Linked DNA regions of Schizosaccharomyces pombe. Changing the gene in region 1 together with any one later gene gives a genetic interaction. Each region holds a gene or a part of one and is shown in the gene's direction. Other genes may lie near its edges. The genes, in order: nur1, swd3, mms19 and ani1.

Region 1 (7,804 bases):
TTTTGGTGAGAGGACCTTCTTCATAAGTGACGTCGCAATTAAGGGAGTTGGTTTTGAAAGGAAGGCTTGGATCTGTTTGGGATGAACGCTTTTCACTCTGGGTTTCGTTGGTAATAGTGGCAGCGGTGACGGCGGAAAATTTGGAGGAGGACGTTTCAGTACTAAGGCATGATTCACGCTTCGAAAGTTCAGTAGAAGTAGATAAGAAATCAGTTGGAGGTATCTCTAAAGAAAGTCTGAACTTGCTTTCGTATTCATTGTTAGAATCAACGACTGGATTCTGCAGATAAGCACATGATGTAAATGCAGGATGATTACTAGGCGTAATTGAAGCATAGTCAGAGTTATTTTCGTGCTCAAGTATGTTATGATGACTGTAAATGGGATACACTAAAGCATCTAGTGCATGTTCACTCTCGCTAGATAAACTGGAGGATGGAGACATTATGTAGTTATTAACATCGTCTGCATCATCGGCATCGTCTTCAGTAGTATCATTGTAAAGATCTAAAACATCATCTAATTCATAATCTGAAGGTGTTTTATCCTGTTCACTACTTCCAAAGTGGATTGATGCATCTGACAGGTGAGCATTCTCCTCTTTAAAATTTGCATCATTCATAATCGTCGAATGTTCAGTGATGCCAGCCATTTTGAAATTCTCTTCTTATGTCGAGAATTCCCTGACTATCACACATGCGACGCTGGTGCTTCGGGCTTCTGGCTTTCTTTCAAAAAATCTCTTAGTTCTTCAACAATGCTTTCTTCATAAAAATTCCTTTCCAGTACCATTACTACCCAGCTGGGAGATTTTTGAGTAATTGAATGAATAATTGCCTTTCAATAACCAGATTTCTTATGCTCCACTTTCTATATGACTAAAATGCGTGGTTGGTAAACGCCAAGAATATATGCATAGTACGCGCTTTTGCAACAAAGCGTGGTGGTGTTAAATGGGCCTACCATGATACCATAATATCGAGGTTACCGAGGTACTTAGCAACACTCATGATAAGATTCCTTCTAAACTATATTTACTACATCTTTTTCGTAAAAAATGCTAAAAAGTATTAATATTATATGAATATATCTAATTTTTTAATAAAATTTACGACTTAGCTATTTTTAAGCAACTTGGATATTACCGTGTAATGAAAATTTTTATTTTTATTTTTATTTTATTTTATTAAGTCGTTGTTCCTTCAAACAAAAAATTTGTAGTACGATTGGCAAGGTAATGCAATTGGGTGATCTATAAAGCGAAAAATAGAGTGTGATCCACCAATATGAAAAATAGTGCTATAAAAATCTGGGGTTTTTTAAATCAATAAAATATTAGATAATTTGGTAGTTTGCTTCCTCTTTTTCCTTTAAATAAATAAAATACTTCACAAATAACCAAATGTCAATTTTGCAAAACAATAAATAAATAAATGAGTCTAACGTTTGGAATTAAGTATCCTCATTGTTCAAAAAACACACATCCGGTTATACAAACCCTAAAGTGTCCGACGAAAGCCAGGAATTAAGCATATTGTTCTTCAATACGCTTTCGAATACGAAGTGCATTTAGCAAGTGTTTCCACTGCCCATAAATAATTTTTCTCTCTTTCATCTGCTGCTTCTCTATTCTGATTTTTTCACACTCAAGAAATTCTTCGTAAACCATTTGAGCCGACTCTTCAGGTACAATTATACCTGTAGTAACTGGAATCGCACGATGTTTACGAAATTCAAACCCTGTAACTGCATCCGCATAATCAATGTTGAGTTTCTTGGCAATTTTAGCAATTCCTCGATATGGCAAATGTGCTGCGCCCTTGGGGATCATGCTCTCAACAAAACAATCCATATTACCATAACCGTTCTTAGGAATAATACCATCTTTGATTGGAGGCGGAACATATAGCTCAGTTTGATCGGAAGAATATAGACCCTGAAGCACTGGTTCATTTGTTTCAGCAACCCGAAATTCGTGTTCACGCTTCCTGCTAATTGTGACGGCTCTCGCCTTCACCATTTTTCGAGGTTGTTCTCCTTCCTTAATTACTCGTCCTTCTTTGTGATAATTTTCAGGCGTTTTGCATATGACCACATCTTTTCGGAGATACACTTCCTCAGAGGTAGCTTTCTTACCGTTACCAAAGGTTGCTGTCTTCACAGGCTTGGCGTTAGGAAGCAATGCTTCTTCTCTTCTAAGATGTCTAATCAATACAAATTCAGGATGATTCTTAAAATCTGCAAAGCTTTTAGGTTCGCGAATGGGCACTTTACTTTCCAGTTCTTTCTCTTCATATATATCCTCTGCATCTTTATTGCGCTTTGCTAGTTGCCCAAAAATAGCCTTATAAAAATCAAAATACTTATCTGCAAAAGAAACGTGTCGAATTTTCTTAAGCCTACTTGATTGGTAATCTGTATACCTCAAAGTTACATCTTTTGCGTATAAATCGTTATCATATGCAGCAACAATACCCATTCGTAGATGTTTTGACTCTGCATACGCTCCTTTGGGTTCAAACCAAGTCATATCGTTGGTATATACCCCATTCAAGACAACCGCATCTACCGCAATCCATTTCTTCTCACTTTGATCATAGATTTCCGTCCAAAAAATAGGATAGCGGAGGTCGTCATCTATAGATGTACTAGTTTCTTCAGGGAGGATATGTGGAGACCAATCATCATAGGAAGCAGTAGAAAATGTCAAAGGTTGAAGAGAAAATATAAGTCTTGCTTTCAGATTCAGAGATCGACAGAGAGCAGTAAATCCCTGTGCCGCCAAATCCCGGCTTCCTTTTAGCGAAAGTAAGGATGCTTGGTATTCATGAAAGTTATGAAATATTTCTGGCGAAAAGCCGATATCAAATCCTTGTTTCAAAGTACGATACCCCAACTTCCGAAGCCCATGACTCTCAATTTTAAAAGATTTATTCCACCACATCCGAAGCCCATTTAACAATTTTAACAAATCCTCGTGCGTCTGGCTACTACAAACCCACGCCTCCACTACGGACGGTTGCTTTTCGACAAGCAAATCGCGCAGCCCATCAAGAAGTAAGGAATTCATTAACCAGCGATTCCTTACTGACCCATGGTACAACAAGCAAGTAAAGTGCATAATGTGAATAGATAATCGAATGCTTTTATCCATTGCACTAGAAGAGCCTTTCTTCGATTCTTTTGTAAGTTGAGGAGTGATATGCTGTGTGACTATGTGTAAATCTTTTTTATCTTCTTGTTTATTAGGAGAAAGATCAACTTGTTCCCAAGTGTCAAAATCGTCGTCAAACTCGTCATCTTCTGAGCTGCCTAACTTCTCATTGTCTTCATCGGAACCTTTTTCGGATGAAGATGCGCTCCTTTGAAGTGAGTTTAACGCTGATATATTGTCATCTAAACTCTCAGAAGGAGGTTCCGCTGAGGAAGACAAACTTGGCTTTTTCGACTGGCTACGAGTTTGACGGTGAGTTGAAGATACAACAGTTTCCTCTTTCACTTCAGGATTAAGAGGTAAGTTATTGGTCCGTGTCCTACGTTTCCTTCCGCGAACAGAGTTCTTGGATGCTTTGCGTTTGGGTGGCATTGAGCAAAGAGTTTATGTGAATTGAATCAACTTTAGGATAATGCTTGTTTAACCGCTGGTTCAAATAATATCAATAACGATAAATTGAATAAAAAGTTGTAATCACAGCCACATCTGATATATTCTTAGTTAAAGAATTATTATTTCAAGCAATCTCTCCAACAAGAAAGCAAAATTCTAACAATGGCTGTGATGATGATTATTAAAAAGTCCTTTGAAAAAGAGGTCAGTATCAACTGCGCAAGAATGGCGAGTAGTTTGTTTGCTGAATATTATGAGCTATATTAACTACTTTTGATTTCAACCGTGAAATAAAGATTTAAAAAATTTAAATCTGAAACATAACATGAAAATAAATTATTAAATAAAAAGTTAAACCACATGCATCACTATTAATAAGAGACAATAAACATAAGTCAAAAAAAACTTCAGCCGTTAAATTTTAAGGAAATAATTCATTAATTAGTAAAACGTCAAACGAAACTGTTTAAATTTATGTCACTGATCGAGCTTATATTTCCTAAAAATAGGAATTTTAAATCGACGACTGATTTTGCACAGCAGTAGTAGTGGTAAAGTTGAAACCATCAATAACACCAATACTTAGGAACATCAACCTGCGAAAGCAAATTCTTTTTTTTTTCTTTTTTATTGCACACTTGTTTACGTACCGGATTTAAAAAGTTATCTTAATAAAAAACTTTTTATCCTTCATTGTTGCAATTGAAGTCGATAATAGCAAGCTCGACCTAGCTAATTAAAAAGCCTTTGCTACTCTAATTAATACGTAAGGTTTGAATCCTGAAACGGAGAAGTGCCCTAATTTCGTTCATTAGTATACGAATATCGGAATTTACCTTTCAGGTCCATGGTTTGTTTCATTTCTAATTCGGCGTTGTTTTATACTCAAAAAGTACACCTGAATTTCAAAACATTGCTTAAAAATCTTTTCAATGGGAAAGTTAATCCGTCGTACATCGCTGACTTCTAAAATAATCAATCTTCCGATCGATTACTTTATCTATGTTTGCGAACAATTTGACAGTGTAGAGTGGGATAAAGTATCAGATCGTTATTCGATTCCCTTTAGCTTGGCTGTCAATTTTATTTTTCTCTTAATGCGCATTTATATAAAAAGTACGCATGTACCAGTTCAACGCAACCAGCTCTTTGTGGATAAGCAGTCCATCAACACCTCTAGGTCCTGGTTTCGTGCCTTCCTATCATTTCTCTCAATTTGTTTTCTTTTCATCAGCTTTCTCAATTTCATATTTAGCACTCGATTTCAAAATAAGCTGTATAGAACTTTGCCTCAAGACAAACGCACGACGACTTCTACTCCCAATGTAAAACCAGTTTTCCAGCACTCAAATAATGATGATGGCGATGAACAAGTTTTTGAATTGAAAGTATGGAGCCCAAATCAATTTTTACTAAATTTTGCTTGCTTATTTTCTCCTGCTCATGCCTTGATTTTATGGTTTTATAGCACTTCTCTACGCGTGACTTTGTTGACTTTTCTCCTTTCGTTTACAACATTGCATTTTGTCAATAAATTTTCCTTACTGCTGAAAGATCAACAATATCTTCATCGCCAGGTATTCTTTGAGTATGATAAGAAATTTGTAGAACCTCGACTTTCGGTAGTTAAACGAGATGTTGCCATTAATACTACTCGTGGTCCCACAACCGCATCTATTGAATATTTCACACCCCGAAAACCCATAGATACCTTCCTTGAACACCGAAGTTCTTCACATGATCATCTCACTTCAACACCCCGTACCCCTATAGCGCTTCAAAGAAGAAGTGTTCATCATCTTCATGACAGCGGAATTAGTCGTGACAGCAGCTCACCATTTAAGAGATTTCCACATCTTAGTGATGGTAGTTCTCGCTTTTAATATTTGTCTGAATTACATGGTTTTTGAATGACCCACTGCATTTCCATTTATCATTGTTGTTTCTGTTAATTCCTATTTTCGAAAAGTTTTAAGTCATAACTCAATTCAGACCTGAAATAATTGTATTCATGAAGACTAATTAGGGTATCAAACACCGTCATTCTAAAAACTTTCGATGATCGACTTAGAACCAAATCCTTATAATTTAAGCTTATTCAATATGATCTCTTATTAAAATCCTTACATGATTATAAATATGAATACTCTTGTTTGTTAGAAAATATATTTAAAAGTGATAATGTGCATCAATTTTGTATCTAAACTAATATGTAAAAATCGAAGCAAAATTTCTAAAAGGAAAATAAATTATATTAAACGTGCAAACCGATTAACTAAAATGATTTTTAGAAAAAACTCAGCTTTGTAAAAAAGGCAATTGTTATTTCTAACAAAAGACGCACAACAAAACAATTCGTTTCCGTGCAGCAAGTAGAAAATTACAAAAATTTTATCAATAAGGTCATAAATGAGAAAAATGAGAAAGTCCCAAAGAGATAGTTGAACAAGGTCAAGCAGTTTTAGGTTATAGCAGCCATAAAAATGGGAAGAGCTATTATGTAGATTTCATTCACAAGCAAATAGTGCGAACAATTATTCAACAAATTTGACGGATGAAGGAAAATAAATGAGAGTGAACAAACATAGAATAAGGCCAGCTTTAATTTCAAGTCAAAATTAATTTTCCTCTTCAGCTTGTGTCGTAACCCCATGAGCCCGACATAACGGGCAGGAATTATTACCAGTGGTAAGCCACTGATCGATGCAGGCCTGATGGAAAAAATGTTTACAAGCCTGCAACTTGCGACATATGTCACCGTTAGTATAAGTTTCTAAACATATTAGACAAGAATCAGCACTAGAAAGTGAAGCATCATCGAAATATGCAAAAAGTCCGCCCGATCGTTTCACATCTTCATGAGAAGCGACTGGTTTCTTCGCTGGACCCAGGTATGTAGTAAGAGCCAACAAGTCTTCATACATGGGATTATCGCTAAACAAGCTAACTGTAGACAAAACTGGATGATGTTCTGGAAACAGACCACCAAACACATAGATAAGCCAATCACCATGGGTGCTATTAGAGAAAGTTCCCTCTGAATGCGTTTGAGTAACCATGTCGGCAGCCCCATTGGAAGCCAACGTACTAAAGTCGCTAGTATTATCATCAACAGAAAGTTGTTCCTCAAATCTATAGCTCCGTGCTAAGCTAGAACGTCTAGTTTGATTAGACAGTAAATCTCGATCAGACGGAAAATGATGGAGTCCTGTAGATAACCTTCCAGGCTGTGTGGAAAATGAGGAGGTATTATCGGTAGTCGGCTGATGAGTTTGTGACATCGAGAAATTGCCGGAGGCGTTCCTCGAAAAAACATTTGATTCAGAAGGCACTGTTGAAAACGGTCGTTGTGAATTGGAATTTGAACTATCCAATAATGAAGAAATGTAATCATCTCCAATGTGATTTTCTCCAGTTGAACCATTTACAGGTTCTTGAGCTCTTCTTAGTATACTTGAATTCCTTAAATCCACGGAAACAGTAGGTTGATTGTAGCGCGAAAACGAAGAAGTAGATTGATTACCCGAGTTGGACGTTGGAAACAAATTTCTGGAACCAGGAAAAAGATTTGCAGGGAAATCGGATACCGGCGTAAAAGCCTGGCTAAAGTCACTTCTTGTAGGTTCAGGATGTGAAAAAGTTGAATTGCTTCTCTCGAATGTAGGAGGAAGATCAGTGGAAAATTCAGTGGACTGAGCCATTCTTTCGGTTATATCGTTAATGGATATGTTTTCTCTACTCTCGTTATGAAGGCTTTGATTTTCTTGAGTCATAGTTGGCGCATGATCCTCGGAAGTCTCGGAAATGCTACGCATACAAACGATAAGGACAGGCACCAAAGCCGGTCCATTTGTATCTGAAGCTTCGTTATTAGAGGCAGGTTGATTGTGAGACTGATGAAACGACGGAAAACGGAACATCCTTAAGTATTGAAGGTCTGAGGAATTAGACTCAGGGTCAGAAGAAATTTGATCATTTCCATTTTGAGAAGAGTTTTGAAGAACATTAGTCAAATTTCCACTACGAAGGTCGGTTAAGAACTGTTCAAATGAACCATCAACAGAACGAAAGCGAGATGGTTCACCGTTTGCCATATTCTGGGAGTCCATATTCCTAGCTTCGCTATTCATAATTGAAGCAACTGTTTCAATGGCAGCAGCAGAAAGTAACCGGCTAAGCATATTGACGGTGCTTTCA
Region 2 (4,268 bases), on another chromosome or scaffold:
GTTCTTATAATGGTTAGTAAATGCATAAACACATTTTTTAAAAAATGAAAAATAAGGAAGTTAAAGAGTAATCTCTTGTCAGTGATGGTTACAATACCTTCACTCATCCATATTTCTTAAAAACATACCCTCGATTGGCAGCTAAAATCATACGTAGCCAGCTGAAAAAGTCATTAGCTTTAGAAAATTAAAATTTAAACAAAAATAATAGTCTTACAGCAAAGGATCCGAAGAGTCTGAAGAGACAATTCCATATAATGGTACTTGAGACATAACCAAAAAAATCAACAAGGTGACTCCAGTCCATAACATTTTTTGCTTGAAAGGGACCTAGATTCGATATTAGCTTTCGATGTCTCTTATGAGATACATATGCTACATACCTTTCGTTCGGGTGCAGCAATCTCCGGTAAGAATGGCGCGAAAGGCTTTACAAGGTCCAGAAATCGTACTGTATAGTGTTAGAAATCAATAAGAAATAAAGCATGGTCTTACAATCACTCATATTGTATAATTTAATTAGATTTCTGCCCAACTAAACTTGCTGGTTCTTGTTGACAGTGAAGTATCATACTGAGGTTTTGGTGGTGAATTAAATTAAGGCAGCAGAACGATGGAGATAACTATTCACTTAAATGCGATAACAAGTAAATATTTCGTTTCATTATATAGTTAATAAATACGCTATAATACCAGTATAAACATTTGTTGAAGCTGTAATGAATGCCTGAATTGCCCATTTAACAAGCGTTAGAGAAGTTTTTTAAGCCGATTAAAATTCAAAATAATAACTGCTGAAATGATTTTACTTCACATAGGGATTAAAAGGAGATGCGATTTCCATTACGACCCAGGCAACAAGGTTGACTAATAAATCAAGATCATTAATTTAATATGGAATAAGAAGGGAACTAAAGGCTATGATGAAAGGCTTAATATGTGTACCGATCTAAGATGCCAACTGTTTCACCAAAAAATGAAAACACAATATTGTTTTACCAATTTGTAATTGGGAGATTGGATCAAATAAATTGATTACCAATTCATGACCTCAACAAGTAATTCTAGTTGTTCATAAGTGTTAGCCTCTTTCTTGCAATTACTATCCACGTGATTTAGATGTTTCTGTGGAACAACAGCTATCTGGATAAAAAAACTTTGGGACAAACGAGAGTGAAACATTTTTAACTTAAATTATTTGCATCACTCTGAAAGTTATGAGTTGACTCATTCGAAGTCAGTTGAGAGATGAATCACAGACACTACTTATTGAGAACTTTAAGCAATGGAAAACTTGATATCGAAGGAGCTATCAAAGTCAATATTAATTGAATGAGGACATTATGCAAAGAACGTATTTTGGTTCATTATAAGGAAACCTCTTTTTAGTATCTTTCAAACAAGCAGGAGCTTCATGAATGCAAGGCCGGAGAGAAATTGGACTAGCCTACTCACAGACTAGAAGATTACAAAACTTCAAAGGATATGTCTCAGTACGAAGATCGTACCCTTAGCGCAAGAGTATTGAACCCTCGTCAAATTAGTGAGCAATATCAGAAAAAAGTTTTTGTATTAATTCCTTGTAAACTTTACGTTTCAGTAAAAGGAGCCTAGTCGTTCTTCTTCATTCCCTAAGCTTTTTCATAACTTCAATGCGTGAATTATTGTACAATTTGTAGTAAACTTCCATTTATTAAGTCTTTGAACTAAATGGCTTAAAAATGACAATATTCCTGAATATCCTTTGCAGAGTAGTTTTCGACGTGAATTGCGAGGAAAATGAACCTGTAAACTTTATTGAAGACGAGTCAAATTATTGAGTTATTTAATATAAGTCCAAAGAAAAGCGTTTTTTAAATAGTCATTATTGTGGTATGTTGCTAGTTGAATGTTATACACTTCGTTGTCCACACCAGTTACTGCTTGTGCATACAATAAAGCTGGATGCTTAAAAAATTGACTGGCATCATTGTAATTTTATAATCTACATATGCAAAAAGCCCATGAACTTTTTTTCTTGTACATAGACTCTAGAAAGAGGAAATAAATTGATCGATTTTACTATCAGACAAAGGCGTTTGTTTATGATTGTTGAGATCATTCAATAAACCTTTTAATACTTCCTGATACGATTTTTGTCTTTAGTCCATTTTTACGAGAAGTACAAACAATCGGTCTGATAATTTTTCACATATCGTATATTAGAAGATGGATTCCACAGCTCAACAATTTCCTTTGAACCACGACCTGCAAGTACAAAAAGACCAGAAAGGTGTTGTAGAGGAAGATGAGGAGCAAATACATAAGCGCATTCGCAATTATGAATCACATTCAGGATTCTCTGAATATTGTACTCTTTTCGGTCATGAGAAAAGTGTTACATGTGTCAGCGTTTCCCCTAACAAACGATGGATCGCTACCTCTTCATCCGATGGAACTATAAAGATTTGGAGCGCACTTACGTTTCGACTTGAATGTACACTTTTCGGCCACTACCGAGGAATATCTCAAGTAAAATGGGCAACTGGTAGTAAGTATCTAGCTAGCGCTTCTGACGATAAGACCATAAGGATTTGGGATTTTGAAAAACGGTGCAGTGTGAGATGTTTAAAAGGTCATACAAATTACGTTTCATCAATTGACTTTAATCCATTGGGCACGCTTTTGGTGTCAGGATCATGGGATGAGACTGTCCGTATATGGAATCTTCAAGATGGAACTTGCCTTAGGATGCTACCTGCACATTCAGAACCTATTATATCTGTTTCTATATCAGCTGACGGAACTTTATGTGCGACTGCTAGTTATGATGGAATGGCACGAATTTGGGATGTTCTCAGTGGCCAGTGTTTAAAAACATTAGTTGAACCCATTAATGTTCCTTTGTCTAATCTCCAGTTTACAGAAAATCGAAAATATCTGCTTGTAAGTAATCTTAACTCACAGATCCGTCTTTGGGATTATCGCCGAAACCGTGTGGTACGAATATTTGATAGCCACGTGAATACAAGATATTCTATGTCTTGGGATTGCTATTCTTCTAAAAATATTCCTAAAAATACTGAAGCTTTACCCAATAATGACTCTTCCTACCCTGATGATGCAGAATCTTTCATGCACGATGCTTATCTTTTAATTCCTAGTGAAGATGGAACAATCCAAATTACAGATCCGAGTACAAAAATAATTATTGACGATTCAATTAGGCATTCCGATGATCCAGAAACATCACTTTTAAATGTAACCAGTTTAGGTCCTTTCATAATCACATCAGGAACTGATCCTTATGTACGAGTTTGGGCTCCTTCTCTTCTATTGTCGAAGCACGAGAAAGATGGCTTTTCACCTTAACCTGAATTGTTGACAAATAATGTATAAAGTTTAAAGAAACTACTTGGAATTACGATGAAGATAATGATGCTAAAGGTTTACGTGCGAAAACAAGCTCCTTACTTCCAATCCAAAGGCTAGTTGGCCTATGAAAACTTAAGTGGATCGATACATAGAAGATAAAATTAATTTATACAGTCTTCGATTATTCTTTACAGAAGATTTCTCGAAGAACGAATGTCGGCCAAGTTGATATCCTGAAATTGATGGTTTTTCTAATTTTTCTCGTTTATTAAACCAGTTATATTCATTTTGTTACTAATTTTCATCATCTAGTTTAATTCGACAGATTTTAAAGGGAGATAAATTTTTTACTTTTTTTTCCTAATATTTATTCCTTTACCACTACTGATATTCTAATAAGGTAAAACTTTTTTCGAATTAAATCATTTGGCCGAGTCAAACTTAAAATAATTGAGAAAAAAACGTATTACCTGATTTTCAATGAGTGAAAACCCAGCACATAAGGATTTGGACAGTTTGCAGGTTGACGAGAAAGCAAAAAGTTGGATTGCTGAAAAAGTTGAAGAGGAGCTCCGAAGGTTAGAGTCAGTAGGTGCTAAAGCGATCCCCTTAGATGTTAAGAATTACAGTGTTATGTTAGATGAAGACACGGATACTGTGGTAAACAGAATTGAGTTGATGACTAGCTTCGACTTTGATCATGTTCAACAAATTCTTCTATCCGCCGTACAGCCCTATCCTTATGATAAAAACTTAATGTTTGTTTATTTGGTGATATTAACGCCTCTTCCACACCCTATGTTAATTCCATATTTGTTTGCACCCAAGGTCGTAGGCAAGAATCTACTACCCCGTGCTGACGGATTGGTAGAGAATACCTTGAAAAGATGGACATTCATTAATGATAAGCTCAA
Region 3 (10,114 bases), on another chromosome or scaffold:
ATCGCTATATTAGCGTTTGCTTGAACTATTATTTACTTATTTCTCTTACCAATATTATCATGAACTTGCTCGATTTCATGTTCTAATTTTTCGGATCCCTCTAAACCCATTTTTTACATTAAATAAAAGAAAGAGAAATAAATATGAATTAGACTTGCTTCATTGCAAAGGATAAGTTGCATCCTTATTTTTCATTCATTGTCCTAAAGCATTCATTTATTGCACGGTAAGTCTCAGTTGGACTCGATAAACGGTTTAAGAGGGTGTATCAATCATTTAGATGAATGCCAAGATTTGAAGAAAATAGTATAATTATGGAATTATGGAACAAATGATTATTATTCTACATTATGTGTATAGACACAAAAATTTACTTTTAACAAGTCTTTCTCTTTAGTTTACATCCCACTCTTAGAAGACCATGGTTTATTTTAATAATAAAATATGCCATTCTATCATCGATGAAAATTGAGATTTGTATAATAAATAGTTAAATTTTAGTGCGCCAAAAATTAAGGGCTCATTTATGCTTTATACAGACTTAGTTTTTATAAACGTTTGCTATAAGTAACAGCATTACATAAATAGCAGAGGGCTAAATGCTGGCTAGATAAATATGAATGTAAAGTATGTTAAGAAATATTGAAAGATTACTCTCATTTCCAATGCAGGATTAAATGAAGTATATGAACAGATTTTGCATATATACCAAAAAACTCCAATAAACAGAGTGGTGATTAGCCACAGATACATTTTTTCTGTCTAGGTATGAACAGAACTTTATTTTATCAAAAGATGGTGCATTAAACATTTAGCTTTTATTTCTCCTTGGCTTTCCAATGAAATCCCACTGCGACCCAGGAAAAACAAGCTTTCTAGGAAGTGTTATCTGTAGCGGAAGGCTCTTTCGTTTCCTCTGATTTCACAGACTCCAAAAACGACGGTCGCCAACGATTCAAAAGCTTTGCGGCGGAAGCTTTAACATCTACATTCTCTTTCCACATCGTCTCAAGAATATCAAGGCATTTTTCACGTACAGGTTAGTCGAAACATTATTAAATACTGAAAAGTCATGAAACCGAGCTTCGTCTTATCGGGATCAAGACATACAAATTTAATTTTGTCAACTATAGCATCGGTGAGTTCTGGCAATTCAGACATAAATATCATAAAAACTTTATCTTTTGCCTCTAAGTATGGTAAAATGCTGTCTATTACTTTAAGGGCCCATTTTTCATATTGTGGACCTTCCCACTTAACATCCTCATATTCATGACAATCCGGATTTTCAAGCATTAGTCGATCATTATACCATTCCTCGGATAACCAGTTCAATATTAAATTTGTACTGGAACGCCAGTTAGATGCAACGTAAGTAAAAAGCTGCCCTCGAACAAATGAAGACAAAGTGAAAGAAGCATCTCCAGATTCCTCACCAGACGTTACAGGCTGATAATTCAATAAGCCTCGCGTACAAAGTCGTGGTAAGAGAATTGCCCAGTGACGCTTATCCCATACCGTATTATCCACATTTTCCAACGTTAAATTTTGAAGGTTAGAAGAAGAAACTATGCTTCTTTCAAATTGAGGAGCATAATCAAATAATCTGGATAAGGCACCGTGAAAGTATTCTAGAATAGCCATCGGGGACAGCGAATCTGGAGTGGGTAATTCAAACGCATCAGTAACGACATTGGAGGGAGCACTTCCCTCTAGTCGAGCTGCTTCACGTTCTACACTAGCATTGATAGTCTGAACATCTACCTCAGGCGGTTCATAATCCTCGTCCTCGTCTTCATCAACTTGTTGATCAAGACCAAGGGATTCAGGCTCAGAGAGAGAGCGCACTCTCTCTCTCAACATATTAATTTGCTGATGAAAGTAGTTTTTGTCTATCTTAAGAAGAGAAGTAAGTACAATTTCAGTAGCCACTTCAACCGGAATTGAAGTTACATCAAAATTTGCAAGAGGATTTATAGCAGTTTGTGAAGCAAATATGCTGATTAAGGGATTATTTTGCAAACCATCGTGAGAGCTAAGTTGGGGTTGCATTCTTTCTACAAGACTTTGTACAGCAGAAGACTTAACACGCTTAGAGGCAGCACTAATATTTCCCTCATATTGCCGTTTCTTCAAACTTTCATCGACTTTGGTATGATAAATTTGTCCGGAAAGATAAGCGTGAATTTTTTCGACGGAAGAAGAAGATGCACCTGTACTCTTAGCTAAATGAAGTAAAATAAGTTTTAGATTTTTTTCAATACACCGTATAGCTAACTTGCTTTCGTTCGACAGCTCAATTTCATCTTTTGGATTCGGAAGATGAAATTCTAACAAGCTTCCTATGATTTTTGGTGCTAGTTCCTTCCGTCGCTTCACCAAAACCGGTAAGATATTCAAAACGCTAGTAATGTAAAGGACATTCAAAGAATCCGAGAAAAGGATGGAAAATATTTTTTCAATTAAGTCATTTGCTTCTATTCTGAGGATATTTGAATTGATAAAAGGATGATGTGTGGGAACCTTAGAAAGAGACACGTCCGATTTAGTTACAAGACGGGGATCTCGAATCCCAGGCACTTGCGTTAAAATTACACAAGAAATAAATTTAATACAAGAAATTAAAAGAGGCTTGTTCCCTTTGTCAAAGTCATTAATGATTTCGTTTTTTAGCTTCGTTAAAGTGTCCCAGGTAGATGAATCGTTAGGTGAAGTACAACAGTGCAGAAATACTAGTGGGTAGATTGTGCAAGAACAAGATATAACGTCTTTTTTAACTTCTTCATTATCTACTGCGTACAGAGAAACAATTGTATCTAGACAAGTTACAGCTAAATCCAATTTCTGCTCAAATTTAACATTTTTGCTCGAAAATCCAAACCAGAGGAAATTTGCCATCCATTTTTTATACCTTATATCAGAATAGTTTGCCACAGAAAGAATGTTTCTCACGATTTCTGGAAAAAGGCTTTGATCAGTTTTAACAATATCTCGAGCCTGGTTTAAACGAGTAAGATGTTCGTCTGTCTCCGAAACTTCCATACCAGGACTAACAGAGAATTTAAGATGATAATTATATTAAATACTTATATGCTTATTGATCAATTTCTCAAGTAAATGTTAAAACTTTGCATCCTCTTTTTACTTTGCTGTCGGTTCAAATTTTGGTAAGAGAGGGAATACATAGCGCAGTGGTTTAAGGATCGTTAATATGTAGTGACTATATATAACGATGGAATAAAGGTTTTTGTGTATGATTGTAAAATCTTGAAGTAGAGATTTGCTAAAAAGAAACAAATTTTTAAAAAAAGAAAATAATATCCGATCTTTCTTCTAATTTCTTTAATTCATGGATTTAAGCAATTTAATTTACACAAATTCTTATCAGATTATCTAAATACTTTAATTAGTTTAACTTCGCTTCGGTAAAGAAAGCATACATAGCAAATGACATTTTGCAATTTGCCATTGTTAACCACATTTTCTGAGAGACGTTTCAACGATCTACTGAGGAAGAGTGCCGTCTACCTACTAGCTAGAAGAAAGTCAGCTTCGAAAAAGAGGACAAGGTTTCTAATCTCTGCTTCTCAATTTTTGAAATTCTGTTTTTTCTTATAGTGTTTATTGTATAGAAAATTGTTAGCATAATAGTACATATTAAATTTGAGGAAGATGAGCTCGAATTTAGTGGCTTTATATTTATTTTCTATTGATAGAAGTCAGGATGAGGCAAACGACGTTGTAGATCGAATTGTCGAAGAAATTGTCACTGACAGAATGGGGATTGTCGATTTGGTTACTTCAATTGGAGAGTATTTAACTGACAACAATATCTCTGTTAGAGCAAAAGCAGTTTTATTACTGTCACAAACTTTAGGTGAGCTTCCTAAAGATAGACTTCCTGCGAAACATGTATCTGTACTTCTTCAGTTTTACTTGAGTCGTTTGGATGATGAAGTTACAATGAAGGAGAATGCGTTAGGTATTGGAGCTCTTCTAAACATGCAAAACTTCCCTGCTCAAAAGATTGTGGATGTTTGTAAGGCTCTCTTCAGTTCCACTGACATGCCAAAATATGCTCAAGCAACTCGTTTAAACATTTTAAAAGTATTTGAAACCATTATAGATAATTATCTTTTCTGTAAGGATCTTTTTGGAGAGTCATCAATTAACTTAGTTCTCAGTCATCTCTTCACAAACTCGCGATGCTTTCTTCTCTGGAATTTGTTCAACTTTTGCTGGTGAGAAAGACCCTCGTAATCTTATGCTGGTCTTTTCTATGCTTAAAAAAATACTTTCTACATTCCCCATTGACGGATTTGAACAGGTATGGATCTCATTGTTAATCGCCTAATGAAATTACTTACATGTAGCAATTCTTTGATATCACTTATTGTTATTTCCCGATCACTTTCCGTGCTCCGCCTGATGCCACCAATTTGGCTATTACTAGCGACGATCTTAAAATAGCTCTCCGGTAAGGCATCATGACATGTGAACTATTGCTAACCGTCCTTTGTAGAGAAACCTTGGTTGCTAACGACGCGTTTTCAAAATTACTTCTTCCTGCTTTATTTGAAAGGCTGAAGGCTTCAACTGTTCGCATAAAAATCGATGCATTAAACATTTATATAGAAGCTTGCAAAACTTGGCGCGTGGGTGCTTATTTATGGTCTGCTAAAGACTTTTGGGAATCTATTAAGCAAGAAATACTAAATTCGACAGATGCTGAACTTCAAAATTTGGCGCTTGGTGCACTCAATACTTTAGCTAGTAAATTTTATAAAGAGGAAGGGTTTTCATCTTCGTTCACAGAGTTTGTGGATATGATTTTGATCCAATTATCACAGCGTTTACTCGAAGATGTTAATGTTAAATCTTGCGGATCTTGTGCAGCTGTATTTGCTTCCTTGGCTTCTATCTCTGTGGAAACATTCAATTATTGTTCATGCAATTTTTTACCCAGTGTTCTCGATCTACCAATGGTAAATGAACCATTGGAGAAACAAAAAGGGATGCTAGTTTTTTTGGAATACGTCTATAAATGTTTGGTACTTTTATACGGAAAGTGGAGAAGCAAAAACCAGGCTGATATTGACAACCCGCTACTTGTTTACAAAGACAAGCAACTTAGTTTTGTATCAGGCTCCTTGATGGGAACAGCCAAAGATGAAACTGAAATACGCATGTTGGCTTTAAAGGTTATTTTTTTAATGGCTTCGATCAAGAACTTCCTAACAGAGAGTGAATTAACCATGGTACTTCAATTTTTGGATGACATAGCATTTGACTTTTCCGATCCTATTAAGAAAAAGGCAACAGAATGTTTGAAGGATTTAGGGTTACTAAAGCCCGACTTTTTACTTTTGACTTCATTTCCTTTCGCATTTTCAAAATTAACTGATGATGTTACTGCTAAGTCATCTTCTGAAGAAACTTTTAAGCAATATTTATCGGTACTAGTCTCAATATCTGAAGAAAGGAGTTTGTTTAAGGCCCTTGTCATCAGACTTGTTGAGATGTTGAAAGATCAATTTAAATCCAAGGAAATGAGTGTTGATCTTGTCGAATCAATTGTTCAAAGTTTATCCGTTGCCTTTAAGGAAAGAAATGATCGAAATGAACAAGAGATTCCATTCTTTTTTGAAGAACTACTGAAGCAACTTTTTACCCTTTGTTTCGCTAATTGCGAGTCAATGAATGTGAGATGCCTTATTTATGTATCACAGACAATAAATGAGATAGTGAGAGTAAACCATTTTGAATTTCAAGAAAAGTTTGTTGGTCAATTATGGAAATTATATATGGAGAATTCCAATTCCGACTTAATTGAAACTGAAGGTTGTGAAAAAGCTGCAGAAAGATTTACGCTTGCAGCATCTTTAAGTGATCAGAAATTTTTAAATTTAGTGGTATTATTACAGGGTGGTCTTAATGGATTGAGTAAAAAATTACATTTTATCGAAAAGTTGAATATTGAGTTGTTGAATTTACTCATAAATGTTGTTTTTGTTACGGAAAGTCCTGGCGTTAAAATTAGCGCTTTACGTCTCATATCCTCGCTTATTAACAAATGTGAAAAAGACGAAGATATATCAAGTTTTATATCTTCGAAGGGAGTCACGTCTTTGTGGGATAAAGTTTATACTGGAACTCCAAAGGAATCTGAAGCTGCACTCGATGTGCTGGCGTGGGTTGACAAAGCTTTGGTCTCTAGAAAGCATAGCGAGGGCATTCCTTTGGCTTTTAAATTATTGGATACTTTGAATTTACAAAATGTCGGAGATTCTTCGGTCAAGGCACTTTCAATAATTATCAAAGACGATCCTGCGTTGTCCAAGGAGAATTCATATGTCGAAAAGCTGTTATACAAACAACGTTTTTACGCTAGTGTTAGTCCTAAGATTTTAGAACACATTTCAACTGCTACTGGAGGAGAAAAGTCTTTGTATTTAATGCTTCTTTCTAATGTGATAGGAAATGTGCCAAAAGAAATTGTAATTCCAGATATGCCATCTATCCTTCCACTTCTACTTCAATGTCTTTCACTGTCTGATATTAGTGTTAAACTTTCGACGTTGAACGTTATACATACTTCGGTTAAAGAATTGACTTCATTATTGACGGAATATCTTGATACTTTAATTCCTTCGCTTTTGGCAATCCCTAAGGATATGAATAATCCAACTGTTGTTCGTCTTTTAGCCCTTAAGTGTCTTGGAAGTCTGCCAGAGTTTACTCCTACCACGAATTTACAACTATTTAGAGATAAAGTAATTCGTGGACTCATACCATGCTTGGATGATCCTAAAAGGTAAGAACCATTCATTTTTAGTGAAAAGAATAACTGTTAACTACAAAATGCTAATGAATAATATAGGGTTGTAAGGACTGAAGCAAGTCGAACTCGTCATAAGTGGTATATATAAAGAGAGATTTTGATAAGTCATTTTTGAAAAATAAAAACGTTAAATATTGTATTTTTTAGGCCAAGGAAGAGATAAAGCTTCTTTTATAATTAAATTAAATTCAGTAGCAAGATCTGGATCTTGATAAATTAATTTATTTTTGTACGCCAAATTTTTATCGTTTAACCATTCATAAAAGTTAACTTCGGGACAACTCTCACTAACACTTTGAATTGTTGATACGGTGTTAAGTAGAACCTCGAGCGTTGAAATTGAGCGTAAATGCCAATTATTCATCAAGTACTTTTGAAAGATGCTACACCAAGTCGAAAATACCCACTCTATTGGGATAACTTTAGAAGCTTTGCTAAAATTGACATTTTCCAACGAACGAGCAATATTTTCAAAGATGATGGACAACCTACTTAGCAGTTTCTCCTGAAAAGCAGAAGGAATATCAATATGGCTGTTTCTCGACCAAAAATCATACAACTGAAGAAGAATAGCCGATCCTAAATCTTTACTAATGAAAGCCTCAGATAAAGGAAAAGATTGGACAGATTTACTTAATAGGAAAAGTTTCTTCAGTAATGTAACTGGGTGGTTTTCCTGCCGTAAAGTGTTCACAATTTTTGGCATAATATTCATTTCTAAAGCCTTTTTCTGAGCTATGAAATTATTGCTAAGCGCTGATGCCAAAACAACAGACGACATTGAACGAATCGTATTTGGATAGTCTTTCCCATCCATCAAAACAAAAAGTTGATCGCACAGAGGCTGTTCAAGTACATCCTGACCAAATTTTATATCATGAGCCAAATCACGCATTGTTTCTAAAGACGACAACACAATGCTTGGGTCTGAAGTATCAGGATTTAAAATTACAGAAGATGACTGATCGAACAACTGTCTATCGTAAAGTGAAACAGATGAATCTGAGCTTACAGTCCTCACATTCAAAAAAAGGTAACATATTGCAAGAAATAGATTCGACAAAGAGAATGTTAAAGTAAAAAAAATTCTGTAAATTTGAGTATTTCTTTTCTTTTTAGACGAGTTTCCCAGAATCGAAAACATTGAACCGATTAATCTCCAATTTTTTCACTCCTGTTAGAGAGTGGTTTATGGTAGGATAGATTTCAAGAAAAAAAAATCCATAGCATGATTAGGCAATTGCCGCTGGTAAATGGAAAACGTAGCAATAAAATTCATGTTAAAAAATAAGAATACGATACGGACGTTGTGGCAGGCATGGAAGCCTTCTAACGAAAATGTAGTAATTGAGTATTTCGCTTTTTGGCAACAACTCAAATTGAGAATTGATTAAAAAAATTGAGCTCAATCAGTTTTCAATTTGAGACAAGTACTTTGAAATTTCCGCCTCAAAAGTTGCACTTGATATTTGGCCATCTTCTTCAAAAATGTGAGCAACAGGAACCGACCATTCAAGTTGAACAGCATTTCTGTTTTTGAGTACGGTAAATTTAGTAGTGATTAGAGGCTTATTTTTCAAAGGTAAAAAGGTATCCGCAGAAATTTTGATGTGTCTTTCTTTTTTCGTAGCAACATAAACAGTACTACCCTTGACTACAGAAGACCAAAATGTGAGCAAGCAGGAAGCTAGGAAATATAAAGGTAAAAGATACTTTAAGTAAGATTTTAAAACACCAAAACCATAAACATACTCAATGCCAAATGCGAGGCCGGCGGGTATAATGCAAGCTATTGCGATCAGCAAACGAATATCTTCAAATACAAAGGATTGCTTATAACCATTTTTGTTAAAATGGTTTGTTAATTCTTTATCAAATTTAGATTTGAAATCTGAAACGTTATATTTTGGCATTTTTACTATTAGCTTAATTATGGTAGAGGAAGCAAGGCTGTAGTTACTGATGATCAGATATGCGGTTTCGTTGATACGATGGCATGATGATTTTTTAAAATTAAGTAACCTAAAAGATGTTTTAATATTTAATATAAATGCCTGAGAGCAAAAACATGAACTCCGCTACTGGAACGAAAGCAAAACAGTCGATTACTAAGTACTTTATAATACTATCATGCTCTTTCAAATACAACGAGCCATAAATTTGAAATAATAGCCAAATAAAAAATATATATGGATTCTCAATAGAAATTGGCGGAAGGGTTTCATAACAAATTAATTTGGTACAAAATATCATGCTCATTTCCTTGTCTCGATAATAATATCAGAATTGCAATCGCAATGACTGTTGAAAAGGATTATGAAATGGAAAATGTTGTTTGAATGTAGCAGTACTTGGCGTTTAGTAAAAAAATAGAGGAGTACAATATTGATATTTCCTTTCGCAAAACCTGTTTGTTCCAATAGTGATATCCCTCGATGAACATATTCCTCGCTTTTATTTATTCAATTTTCACTCGCTAATTGTAAGTTATTATGCAAATGAAGATAAGGAACCCGGTACAAACCGTTTAACAAGCAATTGCTATTTTCTATAGGAAAAGCTAGATTGCAAAAACTACAAAGCATATTGATTTCGTTTGATACAAATGTTTTTTAGGCAAGACAGAGCCACTTGCGAGGGCTCCAATCCTAAATCCAATTTCTGAAATTCGCCTTTTTTACAAATAAAATGTATGAACGAATTTGAAAATGGAACTTTTCTCTCTATCCACGAGTAATGATTAATTAACCATTCAATAAACTTTTAACCTTAATTCATTGTAATTACTCTTTCTTTACTCTTCACATTGGTTTTGCTATTTTGTCTACATGAACGAGTCGTACCGCTGTACGCAAAAATCCTACACTAGGATCAAGACATACAATTTCTACTAAAGCCAAGACAGGTTGCGAAATCAATCAACTTGCAAATATGCAAGCTAATGGGTTTTCGTTTGGCTTTTACGATGAACCAAACAATTTAAACGGCCAAGATGTCGGTGCGGATTCGTTACCGAGCGTTGCTATAGAATCGGATTCTCTGGGACATATGTTGAAGTATATTCCAGAAAAGTTATCATACGCTCGTGTTTCTGGGTTAGGACATACGTTTGTACAAAGGGAATTATGGGATGTGAAAATGCAATTGATGGAACAAGATGATTCCATAGAAAGCGACGATAAACTCAAAGTTTTAGATGGTTGTAATGATCTTGTTCCTAACGTTTACGAGGGTGGTTACAAAACTTGGGAATGTAGCCTGGACCTTGCTAAT
Region 4 (4,572 bases), on another chromosome or scaffold:
CGTTTGTTCATGGCAATCTCATGATTATCGTTTACTTCATTTCTTATAGGAGTAGGTAATTCAACCATAAACAAAGGATCTAACTGGCTTGGATATTCCGTAATACTTCGCTTTTGCAACCTCAATTGCTGCTGTATATCAGACTGCATCGAAGGTGGTAATTGAGCTAGAGCACTGGAACTGATTTGAGAAGATGACGGCAGATCATACGGTGTTGATGGAATAAGTTTTGGAGACAGCTGCTTCTTTTGACTAATTATTTCTTTATCTTTACTTGATATGTCAACAGATGCACCTTTTAGCGACACTTTATTTCGAGAAGTTATGCTCTGTATAGAGCGGTAATCTTTTCTAATTTTAGAGTTGTCTTTAATAATTTTGAGAGCTTGTAATCCTATACCACGTACATCTCCTGGATCGACATTAATTGTTTTATACATTGAGGTCACCTTCTTCCATATTAAGTCAAACGAATTAGTAGCAGAAGTAAAAGTTGAAGATTTTGTAAATGAAGTGACTTCCCCAGCTCCAAGGTACTTTGGTGGACTGAAAGGGGCTCCATCAGCCCTTTTCAAAATCCGAAGCTGAATTTGATGCAAAAGCACTTGGCATTTACCCATTCTGGAAAGCAACTCATGAAGCAACCGTTTTAAGAAATCTATCCCATCCTCTTGAAAAACGAAACGAACACCCCAATTAACATCTACGGATATGGACCTCCGTGGGGTTTCATTATTGATTATATCGGTATCAATTCCTCTGGAAATATTGTATAAATGCAGACCGTAATTTACCCCAAAAGTCTCTTGAAGATTGAATTTTTCAATTCTTTGCAGCTGCCCAATAGTACGCACACCGTACAAATTAAAAAGTTTCTGCGCTTGTGAAGAGCCCACCCCTGGTAAATCTTGAACAGACAAAGGACTCAATACATCAAAAACATTTTCTATTGACAAAGAATAAACGTTGTGAGGCTTCGCCTTCCTAAGTGCAAGTCTTGCTAAGAGAACATTTGGGCCAATACCAACGCTAACTTCGCAATTGGTTTTCTCGCGAACCTGCGAGCGGATAGACTCGGCAATCTCAAAGCAATCTTGAAAAGATGAAACACTAGAAGTTATATCTAGAAGAGCCTCGTCTATACTTATAACCTTAATATAGTCGTGAAGTGTATTAACAAGGATAGTGTAAAATTCTCTAGAAACAGATTCGTATGCTCCAAAATCATAATCAACAACCCGTAATGAAGGACACAGGTTTTTAGCTGTTCCAACGTACATACCATTTTTTATGCCAAACTTCCGAGCCTCATAATTACAACTAGCTATTTCGGAATTTTTTATACCATGAGCAACAGCAACGGGCTTCAGTCGTAGCTCATGAGAAAAGCGTGTTGAAACGGAAGCAAAAAAGCAATCAAAATCAACATGAAGAAGGAAACGAGATTTTTTTGATTTATCTTTCATAATTGGACGAACAGGTTCAGAAGCAGTAGTCATTGCTTGGATTTCATTTTTAAAATCAGCTTTCCAAGTACTTAAGTGATGTAAACGAGAGGAGCTAAAGAAATTCTCAAGAAAATCTTGATTTTGAGTGGTTGAATTTCGGACATTGGGATTTTTTAACAATTGATAGTTGTGCAGTGAAGACGCTGATAATCCACTCAAATCATCTAAAAATCCCTTTGCTTTACTCTCTTTTGTTTTATCTTTTTCATTATCATGTTCTTCTTCCTGCGAGCTTGTTTGAATATCTTCTAAGTTACCTTCGGGTTGGCTAGGTTTAGAGGCGACAAAAGAAAGGGTAGCTTGAGCCGATGAAGCTTGAAAGGTACGATAATTTATCCACGGAAGAATTTTCTTCTGTTTGATGCAATCCACTATCCATTCTGGTTTAACCACTTTCTGATGCTTCCATTGGCGAGCTTTGGAAGGAGTGAGAAATGAACACACCAAATATGATATGCTTGTTTTTCCATCAACATATTGTATAAAAGTACCTCCATTTGAAACTATCATTTGCCGTAATTCGGTATAAGACGGCTTTGTATATCCATTAATCGCTATTGCAAGTCCATGAAAGAGATCAGATTTAGAATCTTCATCAATACTTTTGTATAGAGCGGCATTTTGATTTTGAAGCTTTCTTTGTTTCCGGGAAAAATAATCTGCATAGTCGTGGAACCCAACACTTTCGTATGCCTCATCGTTTGCTTCGTCAAAGTCTGCAATCCCTACTGGGCGTCGACGCTTCCTTTGATTAAAAGCCATCCAGCGCGCTTCTCACTTTCAGTAAATATAAGTATTAATATGTTTCTGAAAGGAAAATAATACAAATAATAATGTAGCCACTTAAGCGGAAAAAGTGTAATTAATAAACAAACAATGTTTATAAAGAAAAACTAACTGCAAGAGCTTTTTTCTTTCATTATTTAACCTTATCCCAAAACTCGTGAAGCCAAACTATTTCAAAGTAAAAAACAACGAAATATCAAAAATAATTACTACGCGTTTGTTGTGATGCACGCTCGTCCAAATTTAATTAATTTTGAGTATAATTTGCAAATCGCGGTAATACGCACTACCCTTACTTAATGGAATACACAACGGTTTATGTATCAAAATTTTTTACATCCTCTACCACCTCACCTCTTAGGCAAGAATAAGTCATGTCTCTTCCAATTGCTGTTTATAGTCTTTCGGTAAAGGGAAAAGATGTTCCCGCTGTGGAGGAATCTACAGATGCATCTATTCATTTGACTATGGCATCCATTGATGCCGGCGAAAAGTCTAATAAACCAACTACTTTATTGGTGAAGGTTCGTCCCCGTATCCCCGTTGAAGATGAAGATGACGAAGAACTTGACGAACAAATGCAAGAGCTTCTGGAAGAAAGCCAGCGTGAATTTGTTTTATGTACTTTGAAGCCTGGTTCCTTATACCAACAGCCTTTAAATTTGACCATTACTCCTGGCGACGAAGTCTTCTTCAGTGCATCTGGCGATGCAACCATCCACTTGTCTGGTAACTTTTTGGTTGACGAAGAAGATGAGGAAGAGGAAGAATCTGACGAGGATTACGATTTGTCTCCTACTGAGGAGGATCTTGTCGAGACTGTCAGCGGTGATGAGGAAAGTGAAGAGGAATCTGAGTCGGAAGATAATTCAGCATCTGAGGAGGATGAATTGGATTCAGCTCCTGCTAAAAAGGCACAGGTTAAAAAAAAACGTACTAAGGATGAATCCGAGCAAGAAGAGGCTGCTTCTCCTAAGAAAAACAATACCAAGAAGCAAAAGGTTGAGGGTACCCCTGTTAAGGAAAAGAAGGTTGCATTTGCCGAAAAACTTGAACAAGGACCTACTGGTCCCGCTGCTAAGAAAGAAAAGCAACAAGCTTCTTCTAATGCACCTTCTAGTCCCAAGACTCGTACTTTAAAAGGAGGCGTGGTTGTAACTGATGTTAAAACTGGGAGCGGTGCGTCTGCTACCAATGGGAAAAAAGTTGAAATGAGATATATTGGGAAGCTCGAAAATGGAAAGGTTTTTGACAAAAACACTAAAGGTAAACCCTTTGCTTTTATCCTTGGTCGTGGTGAGGTTATTCGCGGGTGGGACGTCGGCGTTGCTGGAATGCAAGAAGGCGGTGAGCGTAAGATTACAATTCCTGCTCCCATGGCTTACGGCAACCAGAGCATTCCAGGAATTCCCAAGAATTCTACCTTAGTTTTTGAAGTCAAGCTTGTTCGCGTTCACTAAATTTTCATGTTGAAGATGAACATACTTTAACTCCCGTGTTTAAGAAGATCGCGGATTAAACTATGTATTCTATTAACTCTTTTTATCGCCTATCTTTTTCTTAGGTTTCAAAAAAAATCAGGGTATCATTTTGTATTTGAGTTAGGAAATTTTTTTTTAGTTAAGTGTTACAAACACTTTGGATATAGGACTTTTGGATGATTTGGATTGTTGGGTGATAAAGGAGATATAATCAATATACAATTTTTTAGAAAGAGCTGTTTGTATGTGTATGAGCATTAAGAGAAAAGAGAATAGCGCTTCCTTGATCGATACTAGTTAAGGATGTTTAAATTATGGAATTTTGAGTTTGAGTAAATATAAACGAGAACATTCCGAAAAACTCTATTAAAAGTAAAAAAAAACATATTGATAATAAAAGAGCCATTATCTGATTATCGCTAAATAAGTCTACAAACAGCTGTTTGTTTACGAAATTCTTAAAATTAATTATCGTAATAATCAACTTAAAAAAAAACAAGCAGTTTTAGAATTTAAAGAATTATTTTTATTATTTGTCTTTTTTCTATATTGTTTATTTGAAAATTGTGCTTCTGTTTACAGGCAAATCTTAAGGCGGGCATATATTTTTCTGAAACGTAAACAATCAACATGCCCAAATCAAGCAACTTGAAAATGCAGAGAAAAGGCTCTTTAAGAGAAAACGGTCTCGTGAAGGGTTTAAATAAAAATAGTAAGATATAAATTGGTGTGATAAATAAGTTAATGACATAGAATTTTCGATCAGCAAGTTAAAAGAACTATCTCATGCAGATGAC

The links.
Region 2: mutations in nur1 (region 1) and swd3 together harm fitness more than expected from each alone (negative genetic interaction), as found in Schizosaccharomyces pombe (2 studies listed by BioGRID).
Region 3: mutations in nur1 (region 1) and mms19 together harm fitness more than expected from each alone (negative genetic interaction), as found in Schizosaccharomyces pombe (2 studies listed by BioGRID).
Region 4: mutations in nur1 (region 1) and ani1 together harm fitness more than expected from each alone (negative genetic interaction), as found in Schizosaccharomyces pombe (2 studies listed by BioGRID).

What each region holds. Positions count from the first base shown.
Region 1 is NC_003421.2:448,151-455,954, reverse strand, and holds nur1 (protein nur1), read left to right. Parts: upstream 1-4,191; 5' UTR 4,192-4,539; coding exon 4,540-5,490; 3' UTR 5,491-5,746; downstream 5,747-7,804. Other genes in the region: GTPase-activating protein Gyp3, read right to left, coding at 1-652; DNA repair protein Rhp42, read right to left, coding at 1,526-3,586; SPOM_SPCC4G3.12C (ubiquitin-protein ligase E3), read right to left, coding at 6,226-7,804. UniProt on the Schizosaccharomyces pombe protein: Has a role in meiosis.
Region 2 is NC_003423.3:546,462-550,729, forward strand, and holds swd3 (Set1C complex WD repeat protein Swd3), read left to right. Parts: upstream 1-1,902; 5' UTR 1,903-2,208; coding exon 2,209-3,351; 3' UTR 3,352-3,768; downstream 3,769-4,268. Other genes in the region: translocon alpha subunit Sec61, read right to left, coding at 1-3, 129-161, 218-330, 384-451, 496-505; SPOM_SPBC354.04 (uncharacterized protein), read left to right, coding at 3,835-4,268. UniProt on the Schizosaccharomyces pombe protein: The Set1 complex specifically methylates 'Lys-4' of histone H3.
Region 3 is NC_003424.3:3,854,751-3,864,864, forward strand, and holds mms19 (TFIIH regulator Mms19 ), read left to right. Parts: upstream 1-3,467; 5' UTR 3,468-3,672; coding exon 3,673-4,141; exon of another isoform or gene 4,142-4,184; coding exon 4,185-4,327; exon of another isoform or gene 4,328-4,373; coding exon 4,374-4,477; exon of another isoform or gene 4,478-4,522; coding exon 4,523-6,814; exon of another isoform or gene 6,815-6,880; coding exon 6,881-6,929; 3' UTR 6,930-6,968; downstream 6,969-10,114. Other genes in the region: protein Rng8, read right to left, coding at 50-110; protein Sil1, read right to left, coding at 6,969-7,985; signal peptidase subunit Spc2, read right to left, coding at 8,251-8,754; ribosome methytransferase Hpm1, read left to right, coding at 9,773-10,114. UniProt on the Schizosaccharomyces pombe protein: Key component of the cytosolic iron-sulfur protein assembly (CIA) machinery that mediates the incorporation of iron-sulfur cluster into apoproteins specifically involved in DNA metabolism and genomic integrity.
Region 4 is NC_003423.3:4,061,889-4,066,460, forward strand, and holds ani1 (FKBP-type peptidyl-prolyl cis-trans isomerase), read left to right. Parts: upstream 1-2,631; 5' UTR 2,632-2,668; coding exon 2,669-3,754; 3' UTR 3,755-4,072; downstream 4,073-4,572. Other genes in the region: deoxycytidyl transferase Rev1, read right to left, coding at 1-2,270; sporulation specific PIL domain protein Meu14, read left to right, coding at 4,406-4,487, 4,529-4,572. UniProt on the Schizosaccharomyces pombe protein: PPIase that acts as a histone chaperone. Histone proline isomerase that increases the rate of cis-trans isomerization at prolines on the histone H3 N-terminal tail. Proline isomerization influences H3 methylation thereby regulating gene expression.